Linked DNA regions of Macaca mulatta. The protein of the gene in region 3 interacts with the protein of the main gene of each other region in a pairwise test. Links are inferred from orthologs where the notes say so. Each region holds a gene or a part of one and is shown on either strand. Other genes may lie near its edges.

Region 1 (3,033 bases), on a different chromosome or scaffold from region 3:
CTCAGTCATGTGTCCGGATGCACGGTCCCAGTGCCCTGATGGTTCTACCTGCTGTGAGCTGCCCAGTGGGAAGTATGGCTGCTGCCCAATGCCCAATGTGAGTGAGGGGCTGGAGCCAGCTTGGCTGTGTGCCCCCAGCCACTTGGCCCTGACATGCACCTTACGGGGCTCTGGGGCATGGGGCTGGCTGGCTGCTTGCTGGGAGCCTGGCTGATGCAGGGTTCATGCCACCCCCTAGTGGAGGATTGGGGCAGTGCCAGCCATCAGCCTGGCTGCTCCCTGTGCTCTGCTGAGCCTGGAAGTGACAAAGACTCACCCGTCCCCACCCAGGCCATGTGCTGCTCCGACCACCTGCACTGCTGCCCCCAAGACACTGTGTGTGACCTGATCCAGAGTAAGTGCCTCTCCAAGGAGAACACTACCATGGACCTCCTCACTAAGCTGCCTGCACAAACAGGTACCAGAGGCAGGGCACAGATACAGGGGTGGGGCCCTCTTTCCTCCCTTTTAGGCCTGGCCTTAGGATCACTGCAAGGTGGTGTAGGTGGTGCCCTCCATCTTCAACACCTGGTGCCAGCTGTGGAGCCGGCAAAGGGTGGATACCGCTGAGGGTCCCCAGTGCCACTTCTGATCTGTCCTCTCTGCCTCCCTCACAGTGGGAGACGTGAAATGTGACATGGAGGTGAGCTGCCCAGATGGCTATACCTGCTGCCGTCTACAGTCGGGGGCCTGGGGCTGCTGCCCTTTTACCCAGGTACCCAGGGGTGGTGGGTGGGTGCGCTGAGCAGTGTGGCAGCCAACTGGGCCCCAGTGCCCACTGGCCCTTCTCCATCTGCCCTAGGCTGTGTGCTGTGAGGACCATATACACTGCTGTCCCGCGGGGTTTACGTGTGACACGCAGAAGGGTACCTGTGAACAGGGAACTTACCAGGTGTCCTGGATGGAGAAGACCCTAGCTCACCTCAGCCTGCCAGACCCGCAAGCCTTGAAGAGAGATGTCCCCTGTGATAATGTCACCAGCTGTCCCCCCTCCAATACCTGCTGCCAACTCATGTCTGGAGAGTGGGGCTGCTGTCCAGTCCCAGAGGTACATGGGAGGGGACAGCATCGTGGCCTGGGCAGGTGGGTGGCCAAACTCCTATTGCTTTCCGCCCTCCGCATGGCCAGTAGGTGACACCCAGCTCTGTCAGATTCGTTCCCAGCTGGAGGTGCTGTAAGCAGGAGAGGCGGGCTGGAGTAGGTAGGGGCTCGGCACTGTGCCCCACCCCACATAGTGACTACCTAGAACGCCCTTTCCTGCCCACCCCCCAGGCTGTCTGCTGCTCGGACCACCAGCACTGCTGCCCCCAGGGCTACACGTGTGTAGCCGAGGGGCGGTGTCAGCGGGGAAGCGAGATCGTGGCTGGACTGGAGAAGATGCCTGCCCGCCAGGCTTCCTTATCCCACCCCAGAGACATGGGCTGTGACCAGCACACCAGCTGCCCAGTGGGGCAGACCTGCTGCCCAAGCCTGGGTGGGGGCTGGGCCTGCTGCCAGTTGCCCCACGTGAGTACCTCCCTGCCTGCCCCTGGATAGGGGAGCTAAGCCCGGCGAGGGGACAGGAATGTAACGCCATTCTGTGCTCCCTTCCCCGCCAGGCTGTGTGCTGCGAGGATCGCCAGCACTGCTGCCCGGCTGGCTACACCTGCAACGTGAAGGCCCGATCCTGCGAGAAGGAAGTGGTCTCTGCCCAGCCTGCCACCTTCCTGGCCCGTAGCCCTCACGTGGGTGTGCAGGACGTGGAGTGTGGGGGAGGGCACTTCTGCCATGATAACCAGACCTGCTGCCGAGACAACCGAGGGGGCTGGGCCTGCTGTCCCTACCGCCAGGTGAGTGCCATCCCCCACCCTGGGGCTGGGTATGGCCAGGGACCAGGTCCCACCTCATCCAACCCTCTCACCCCCCTCTGACCACCCAGGGCATCTGTTGTGCTGATCGGCGCCACTGCTGTCCTGCTGGCTTCCGCTGCGCAGCCAGGGGCGCCAAGTGTTTGCGCAGGGAGGCCCTGCGCTGGGACGCCCCTTTGAGGGACCCAGCCTTGAGACAGCTGCTGTGAGGGACACTACTGAAGACTCTGCAGCCCTCGGTACCCCACTCGGTGGGTGCCCTCTGCTCAGGCCTCCCTAGCACCTCTCCCCAACCAAATTCTCCCTGGCCCCCATTCTGAGCTCCCTATTACCATGGGAGGTGGGGCCTCAATCTAAGGCCTTCCCTGTCAGAAAGGGGTTGTGGCAAAAGCCACATTACAAGCTGCCATCCCCTCCCCATTTCTGTGGACCCTGTGGCCAGGTGCTTTTCCCTATCCACAGGGGTGTTTGTGTGTGTGCGTGTGTGAGTTCCAATAAAGTTTGTACACTTTCTTAAAAGTGTCTGATTTGCCGCCCTGCCTGCCCTCCCCAGGGCCCCAGAGCAAGGGTTCATGTCCACTGCCAACACTCCCTTCCCCTACCCCACAGAAAGACACACACAGCCTTAACCTCACCAGTTTTGTATTTGCTGCTGCCCACATCGGCTGTATCACATTACCCCCTAGTCCCCAGAGCTGTCCCAGCCACCAGCCCTGTGACATCGTAGCCCAGAGATGGGCTAGTCAGCAAGCAGCACCCCCTCCCCTCCCAGGGGTCCAGAGAGAACGCCCCCTCCCTTCCCAGCCCTCACACTAGCAGCTGAGGCTGGGTCACCCCTCCTGCTTTCCCACAATAGAGCTTTCTATGTACAGCCACGTCTACACAGGCACTGCTTCCCCCCAGCCCTCCTCCCCGGCACCTCCCCTTGGGGGCTGGACCCCCCTTCCTCCCCGGCTTGGAGGCAGACACAGGGTCCCTTGCAAGACACAACCCAGCACCTACCACGGAACGGCTCCAAGGCCCCTGGGCCCCTCTCCAGCCTGGGCCTGGGGGCTACGCGCGAGGGCCCCCGCAGGCCCCGGGGGCGCGCACCCTGGGTGCGGGCTCGCGCGGGAGGGGCGGTGCCAGGCCCGGCGCCGGCGCTACT
Region 2 (3,649 bases), on a different chromosome or scaffold from region 3:
GCCTGAGTTGGGGGTGGGGCCAGGAGACCACCCCTGGGCCTGGCCACTCTCGGAGAGGCCAGCTGCACTCTGCAGGGTCCTGGCTTCAGTCTCTCCGGGTGTTTTGTGCTGGGCTTGGGGCAGCCACCGGGAGAGTCCAGCCTCGTGTCAGACACTCAGAAACCCCCAACCCAAGCTGAACGTGGCCCTAAATCTGAGGCTAAATCCAGGCTCCCTGCGCTGGCTTCAGACTGGCAGTTCCTGAAGGATGAGCCCCTGCCCTGTGTCCCCGACTCTCCCTCCAGCATGAGCCTGAGCCCCTGCCCTGTGTCCCCGACTCTCCCTCCAGCATGAGCCTGAGCCCCTGCCCTGTGTCCCCGACTCTCCCTCCAGCATGAGCCTGAGCCCCTGCCCCACTGGTGTCCCCGACTCTCCCTCCAGCATGAGCCTGAGCCCCTGCCCTGTGTCCCCGACTCTCCCTCCAGCGTGAGCCTGAGCCCCTGCCCTGTGTCCCCGACTCTCCCTCCAGCGTGAGCCTGAGCCCCTGCCCTGTGTCCCCGACTCTCCCTCCAGCGTGAGCCTGAGCCCCTGCCCTGTGTCCCCGACTCTCCCTCCAGCGTGAGCCTGAGCCCCTGCCCTGTGTCCCCGACTCTCCCTCCAGCGTGAGCCTGAGCCCCTGCCCTGTGTCCCCGACTCTCCCTCCAGCGTGAGCCTGAGCCCCTGCCCTGTGTCCCCGACTCTCCCTCCAGCGTGAGCCTGAGCCCCTGCCCTGTGTCCCCGACTCTCCCTCCAGCGTGAGCCTGAGCCTCTGCCCTGTGTCCCCGACTCTCCCTCCAGCGTGAGCCTGAGCCCCTGCCCTGTGTCCCCGACTCTCCCTCCAGCATGAGCCTGAGCCTCTGCCCTGTGTCCCCGACTCTCCCTCCAGCGTGAGCCTGAGCCCCTGCCCTGTGTCCCCGACTCTCCCTCCAGCATGAGCCTGAGCCTCTGCCCTGTGTCCCCGACTCTCCCTCCAGCGTGAGCCTGAGCCCCTGCCCTGTGTCCCCGACTCTCCCTCCAGCATGAGCCTGAGCCTCTGCCCCACTGGGATGACTGGGAGAGGCCGAGGGAGGAGTTCACGCTCTGCAGGAAGCTGGGGTCTGGCTACTTTGGGGAGGTCTTCGAGGGGCTCTGGAAAGACCGGGTCCAGGTGGCCATTAAGGTGATTTCTCGAGGTGAGTGAGCCCCGGTCAGGGCTCTGTGTGGCCCCGTGCCCACCCTGGGCCACCCTCCCGCCCCGCCAACAGGGACCTCTGGCCTCGAGCCCCACGCAGCACCCACAGCACCCATGCAGGAGTGGTTCCCTTTCAACTGCACCTGTTTTTACCTAAATACATTAATTGTAAAAGAAAATTTCAGGCCTGGCACAGTGGCTCACACCTGTAATCCCAGCACTTTGGGAGGCCGAGGTGGGCAAATCATGAGGTCAGGAGTTTGAGACCAGCCTGGCCAACATGGGGAAACCCTGTCTCTATTAAAAATACAAAAAAACTAGCCGGGCGAGGTGGCGGGCGCCTGTAGTCCCAGCTACTCGGGAGGCTGAGGCAGGAGAATGGCGTGAACCCGGGAGGCGGAGCTTGCAGTGAGCCGAGATGGCGCCCACTCACTCCAGCCTGGGTGACAGAGCGAGACACCCTCTCAAAAAGAAAAGCTTCCCTGGAAATTGCCTGGGCCCCAGCAGAGGTCTGGCCTCCACGTCAGAGGTCTGGGCCGGGCGCAGGAAGACATTGGGGGGCCACCACGGCCCCATGGGTATGCCAGGCTGGCGGCTTGTGGGGCCGGCTGTGTCCGCCATTTTGTGGCCTCAGGAGCCAGGTGCCCTGTCGGGGGCAGGAGGTCCGGTGTTCTGCACAGCTGCTGAGTGTGTGGGCAGAGCCTTGCCTTGGCCTCTTCCTTGGGGCCAGGGGAGGGTCAGGGGCTGCACCTGCCAAGGCCACCCATCCCCGCAGACAACCTCCTGCACCAGCAGACGCTGCAGTCGGAGATCCAGGCCATGAAGAAGCTGCGGCACAAACACATCCTGGCACTGTACGCCGTGGTGTCCGTGGGGGACCCTGTGTACATCATCACGGAGCTCATGGGCAAGGGCAGCCTGCTGGAGCTGCTTCGTGGTGAGTGGCACGGGCCGGGGCTCTCGCTGGAGGTAAAGGGGGTGCACGAGGAAATAAAGTGCACACACACCCCCACGTCTGCACGCACACACACACACACACACACACACAGACACACACACGCAGACACATAGACAAACGCGCACACACACAGAGACACATGCACACACACAGACACACATGCACACAGACACAGACACACGCACACACACAGACACACATGCACACAGACAGACACACGCACACACACAGACACACATGCATAGACACACATGCACACACATGCACACACAGACACACAAACGACACACAGATCACACGGACACACACAGACACACAGACACAGATCACACGGACACACCAGGCACACACAGACACACACACATACACACAGACACACATGCAGACAGACACACATGCACACACATGCACACACAGACACACAAACAAGACACACAGATCACACGGACACACACACACAGACACACAGACACAGATCACATGGACACACCAGGCACACACACACACACACACACACACACACAGACACACACACACACAGACACACCAGGCACACACACACACGGACACACACACACGGACACACACGGACACACACACACGGACACACACACACAGACACACACAGACACACACACACACACACACAGATCACATTGGCTCAAAGACTTCATCGTCTCTAAGTTCCATTATTTCCTTTATCACCAAAATCAAAGACAATCGCTGCAGGGAATTGAGATGCCCGTGCGTGAAGACGCAGTTTGGATTCCAATGTTAGAATGGGAGGGAACGTTGTGGTGGAGGAAAAATGCCGTGTGTGTCTGAGGAGAGCTACATTGAGGTGCCACTCACGTTTGAGCTCTGAGTGAAAGGCTCCGTGATCATCTCAGACAGTCCCCACGCCCTTCAGGGTCCTCCGCGACGGAACGGGGGGTTAACAGGCACCACCAGGCCGCATGCTGCTGTCACTCAGCCATTATCCTGCTCAAGTTCCCGCCGCCTACATCACGCAGTCATGAGCTTCTTCGCTGGTCCTTCCGCGTCGAGCTTCTCCCGCGTCATAGCAAACTTCCAGAAAGGAAATCGCTGGGCTAGGCCACTAGGAACCACTCCTTGGTTCTTTTTTTTTTTTTTTTCTGAGACTCACTCTGTCATCCAGGCTGGAATGCAGTGGCGCGGTCTCGGCTCACTGCAAGCTCCGCCTCCCAGGTTCACACCATTCTCCCGCCTCAGCCTCCCGAGTAGATGGGACTACAGGCGCCACCACCACGCCCGGCTCATTTTTTGTATTTTTAGTACAGATGGAGTTTCACCGTGTTCACCAGGATGGTCTCAACCTCCTGACCTCATGATCCACCCGCCTCAGCCTCCCAAAGTGCTGGGATTACAGGCGTGAGCCTCCACACCTGGCTTGCTCCTTGGTTCTTGACACACAGTTGCCTTCCACAAGGGCGGTGGCTGACCTGCAGTTCCAATTTTCAACCAGGCCAGCTGCCCTTTGC
Region 3 (4,223 bases):
GCTGGGAGAGAGGTGCTTTAGGGAGACTGGGGGAGCAGCCCCTGAGACCTTTCCACACATACACACTGTGCTGGGACATGCTGGCCCACAAGGGAGATAAAGCACAGTGCTCACAGCCAGGCCATTCCTGGTCAGGCCCCCAGTCCCAGAGCCCCAGCGGTACCACTCTTGGCAGGCCTAGACGGGGAGAAAATTAGGAGTGGGGTTCCCGACTTCCATCTCCCACCAGTGTCTGGGTGGTCTTGGCTGGTCCTTTCAGTTCTAATCAAAGACAAAGCCTCAGTTTTTCTGTCTCTAACCTGGGGAGAACCACATCCTCGCTGCTGCTCTTTCTGGAGGGGGGGTAGAGAGGGAGGCTGGGAGGCCTCTGCAAAGCAGGAGTCTTCTGCCTCCTGGCTGCCAGGCTGGTCCTGCTCTTCGGCCAGATTAAAAGAATCTCCAACATGGGGCCCAAAATAGGTAGAAATGAGGCAGGCCACAGGGGCCTCCCAAACACCTCTGACCACCACCCAGCACCCCAGATCCCTCCTCTTCTAGCCCAGGATTTCTGATGATCCTTCAAAGCCCAGTTCAGACCTCACCTCTCTATAGAACAACTCCCCACCCCAGGCCAACGACTAGCCTCTCCTCATTCTGCCATCTCACCTCACCAAAAGCACTTAGAACCCTGCCTGGTGTGCTGCAAATGCTCCACTAAAAGACATACTTTGTCTTCGTAATAATTTCTTGCAGCACTCAGAACTGAACCACAATCTTTGGTTCATACTCTAGTGCCATCACTGGCCCATCATGGCTTTCTTTAGTTGTTTAATTCTAATTTATTTTCAATAATATAATGAACTCCCATTAACTGACCACCCAATCTAAAAACCCAAAGGTTTAGAATGTATGCTCTTACCCTCTTCTCTCCCCCATCTTCCCACCCACCCTCCCAGAAGAAACCATCCTCTTGAAGTTTGTGTTTATTATTATCAAATAAATGGAAGACTATAGGTACCCAAAGAGGCACGATGGCTGGTAGATTCTTCAACAGAAGTAGCTGTTTTACCGATCAAGCTGCCACGCTCTTGAGAGCAGTGTCTGGCTTCCTCTTTTGCTGCAGTGTGAGCGGCATGGGGCTGGCCATGCCACAGGGTCGGTGGAGACTATGTGAGGCACCAAGAACAGGAAGGGTGAGGCCTGAGTGCCAGGCGGCAGGTGGAACACAGCTCCAGGAATAGGGAAAAGAGATTCGTGTTCTAGCTCACTGCACCTGGACAGGTGCCTGTGTGACTTTGGCCCTGCCCTGTGACATCACACAATGTTGCCCAGGTGACCCAGCTAGGTGGAAAAGCTCACTGCTTTTCCAGGCCTGGGCAGAGAGAGGGCTCTCCCATCTCTCCACCGTCCTGGGAGTGCCAAGAGTCAATCGCCTCGTTGCTGACCCTGTCCAACTGGCCATGGCCTGCAACCCCCTAGGCCCCTCCACCCATAGACCATCTTGCTGCTGAGAGATCGAGGACCTGCCCCCACCTGGCCACCCTCCCCCTTCCCCAACATCCAGACCCCAGGGCTGGTGTGTGGCACCCCTGAGACCACATTGACCTCCATACTGTCCACTAACCATAAGGACTCCAAGACGCCCAGGCCAACTGTCTGGGCAGGACTGATGCCTGATCACCCACTTATACCAGGTACTCGTCCCCAAGATTGTTAAACAAGGCCAGACACTCCTGGCCTCAAGAGGATGGGACTGAAAAACAAAAAGGTAAGGCCAGGGGAATGGGCCACACACCTGCATGAATCCATCCCTCCTTCAAAGTCTCTCCTTCAAAGTTTCATTTGTTCCTTAATCATGACAAAAGCTTCCCTTCTCTGGGCCTCAGTTTTCACAGCTGTGAAATGGGGAGTGAGGCGGTCTCTGTGGCTCTCCCAGGTTAGCTGCCCTATACTCTTGGGCCACGTGGGAACTGGAATGCAGTGTACTTGCGGGTGTTGTCAGTGCTGACCACCCTTACCTGCTTGTTTCTGCCCTCTTGTTGCTGGGGTCACACAGTCTGAGAGCCCACTGAGATGGTTCATTACCCCCATCCAATATCTCCCAGGATATTCCCAGGCTGCTACCTTGGCAGCCCTGATGCCCCCACTGCCCCCATGCTCTCCTAGCCCTGGCCCTGATTTTCTGGGGCCTAGGCCCCTGCCCTGGAACGCAGATGCTTGGGTCTCTGGAGAGAAGGGATTTTTGTGTGTTTTGTTCATCTCTGTATCCCCAGCACTCAGAACAGTGCCTGGCACATAGTGGGTGCTTAATAAAAAGCTGTGGCCTAGCAGCAGGGTTCTGCCAGGAAGGGACTAGAATCTTATTGCAATGAGATATAAACAGTTCAGTGCAAGGGACCCCTTACCTTCCTCTCACTAGCAAGGCAGAGCCCCTGCCCTAGATGGTGTTACCCACAGGGATACCAGAAGGAGCTGAGACCAAAGGCACATCGGTACTTGCAAACGGGGAATACCCTCTTTGTAGTTATACTCAGCTTGAATAAGCCAAATAGCTGGGGGTGCTCAGGCCTTAGTGTGATTTCCACTTTATTACCCTTGATTTTGATGTCTCTGGTTCCTGATGTTCTCTGCCCACAGCTGCCCCTGAACCTCCGCAGACTCCACCCTCCCCATTAAGACTCTTTCTGTAATGCCACACACTCAGGACCAGGCACCAGTTTGATCTGGCACCCTAAGCTGCCAGGTGGTCCCCACCTGCCCCACATAGCTGGGATTGGGGATCCAGGGAGTGTGCGTGGGAGTCCTGAGAAGGAGCCAAGGTTGCTTTGATTGGTAGCTTTGAGAAGCACTTTGATAGCTGGGTAGAATCGCCCATAAGGATGCTCATCATGGCCGGGGGGGTGGCTCACGCCTGTAATCCCAGCACTTTGCGAGGCTGAGGCAAGTTTAAGACCAGCCTGGTCAACATGGTGAAACCCCGTCTCTACTAAAAATACAAAAATTAGCTGGGTTTGGTGGGACACAGCTGTAATCCCAGTTACTCAGGAGGCTGAGGCAGGAGAATAGTTTGAACCTGGGACATGAAGGTTGCAGTGAGCCGAGATCGTTCCACTGCACTCCAGCCTAGGCAACAGAGTGAGATTCCGTCTCAAAAAAAAAAAAAAAATGATGTTGGCCAGGCACAGTGTCTCACTCCTGTAATCCCAGCACTTTGGGAGGCCAAGGCAGGAGTTTGAGACCAGCCTGGCCAACATGTTGAAACCCTGTCTCTACAAAGAGCGAAACTCCGTCTCAAAAGAAAAAAAAAAAAAAAAAAAGGATGCTCATCATGTATATAATATATATATTTGTGTTTCTTCTTTTGTGAATACCCAGTTCATGTTTTTTTAATTGGGTAATGCTTATAGGTTTCAGTGCTCTTTGTATACTACGGATATTAATCCTTTTTTAAATATATAGCAAACATTTTCTCCTTTTTTCCTTTTCTTTGTATTGCAGGGCATTTTGGATCATTACAGAAGTTTGTATAGATTTTTTAAATGTAATCAAACCTATCCTTTTTTAATGATTTCTGACTTTTGTGTCATCTTTGGGAATGCTTCTCTGCTCCAAAGAACACAATTCCTCTTGCTGCCACCAATGGATACTCAGGTTATGAGTTCAACGGGGTATCCACTGTGGAGCAGAGAAGGGACCCACATCCAAGGAAGCATGGTCAGAGCACAGCAGAGACAGCAAGAGCGTGGGGTCAGACGGACCCTGCTTCCAGTTCCAGCCCCGGCCCCACTAGCTAAGCCGTGTGCTTTCACGCAAGAGGTTTACTTTCTCTGAGTGTGCTTCCTCACCTGAAAAAGAGCTTTCCCCTGACCACCGTAACTCCCAGGCAAGTTTAGATGCCAAAGCTAGAAGGAACATGGGGAACCATTTTTAACTGAAAGTCCTTGTGAAACTGCTGGGAAATAGCCCCACTGCAGTCAAATAACTCGCCTAAATGACAGATCCGGGCAGTCAGGCACCCTGCCTCGCAGCCCAGCCCCTCTCCAGCTGGTGTGACTTTTCAGATGCAGGGTCCTTCTGGAGGGCAGAACCGGGCTCAGCTCCTCAGGCCTCCCAGACTGCTGGAGGAGAGGGGTGGCAAGGGAGGCGTGGGTGGAAGAGTTTGTTTCCTTCCATCTCTCTCCCCACCAGAACCAAGTTAAGCTCCCCCACCCCACCCACAGGAGCTGAATTCAAGGATCATTAAC

What was found.
Region 1: the proteins of CCDC33 (region 3) and GRN interact in binary tests that used the Homo sapiens proteins (3 or more experiments, as listed by UniProt). The two-hybrid records come from large-scale screens. The link is inferred for Macaca mulatta from reciprocal best matches to the Homo sapiens genes CCDC33 and GRN.
Region 2: the proteins of CCDC33 (region 3) and PTK6 interact in a two-hybrid assay, tested with the Homo sapiens proteins (2 studies listed by BioGRID and IntAct). The two-hybrid records come from large-scale screens. The link is inferred for Macaca mulatta from reciprocal best matches to the Homo sapiens genes CCDC33 and PTK6.

The regions. Positions count from the first base shown.
Region 1 is NC_133421.1:68,729,162-68,732,194, forward strand, and holds the end of GRN (progranulin), read left to right. Parts: coding exon 1-97; intron 98-330; coding exon 331-457; intron 458-656; coding exon 657-754; intron 755-841; coding exon 842-1,087; intron 1,088-1,311; coding exon 1,312-1,545; intron 1,546-1,637; coding exon 1,638-1,868; intron 1,869-1,957; coding exon 1,958-2,095; 3' UTR 2,096-2,405; downstream 2,406-3,033. Other genes in the region: protein FAM171A2, read right to left, coding at 3,029-3,033. UniProt on the Homo sapiens protein: Secreted protein that acts as a key regulator of lysosomal function and as a growth factor involved in inflammation, wound healing and cell proliferation. Regulates protein trafficking to lysosomes, and also the activity of lysosomal enzymes.
Region 2 is NC_133415.1:116,406,677-116,410,325, reverse strand, and holds part of PTK6 (protein-tyrosine kinase 6), read left to right. Parts: intron 1-1,036; coding exon 1,037-1,190; intron 1,191-1,964; coding exon 1,965-2,126; intron 2,127-3,649. UniProt on the Homo sapiens protein: Non-receptor tyrosine-protein kinase implicated in the regulation of a variety of signaling pathways that control the differentiation and maintenance of normal epithelia, as well as tumor growth.
Region 3 is NC_133412.1:52,149,657-52,153,879, forward strand, and holds the start of CCDC33 (coiled-coil domain-containing protein 33), read left to right. Parts: upstream 1-1,341; 5' UTR 1,342-1,726; coding exon 1,727-1,747; intron 1,748-4,223.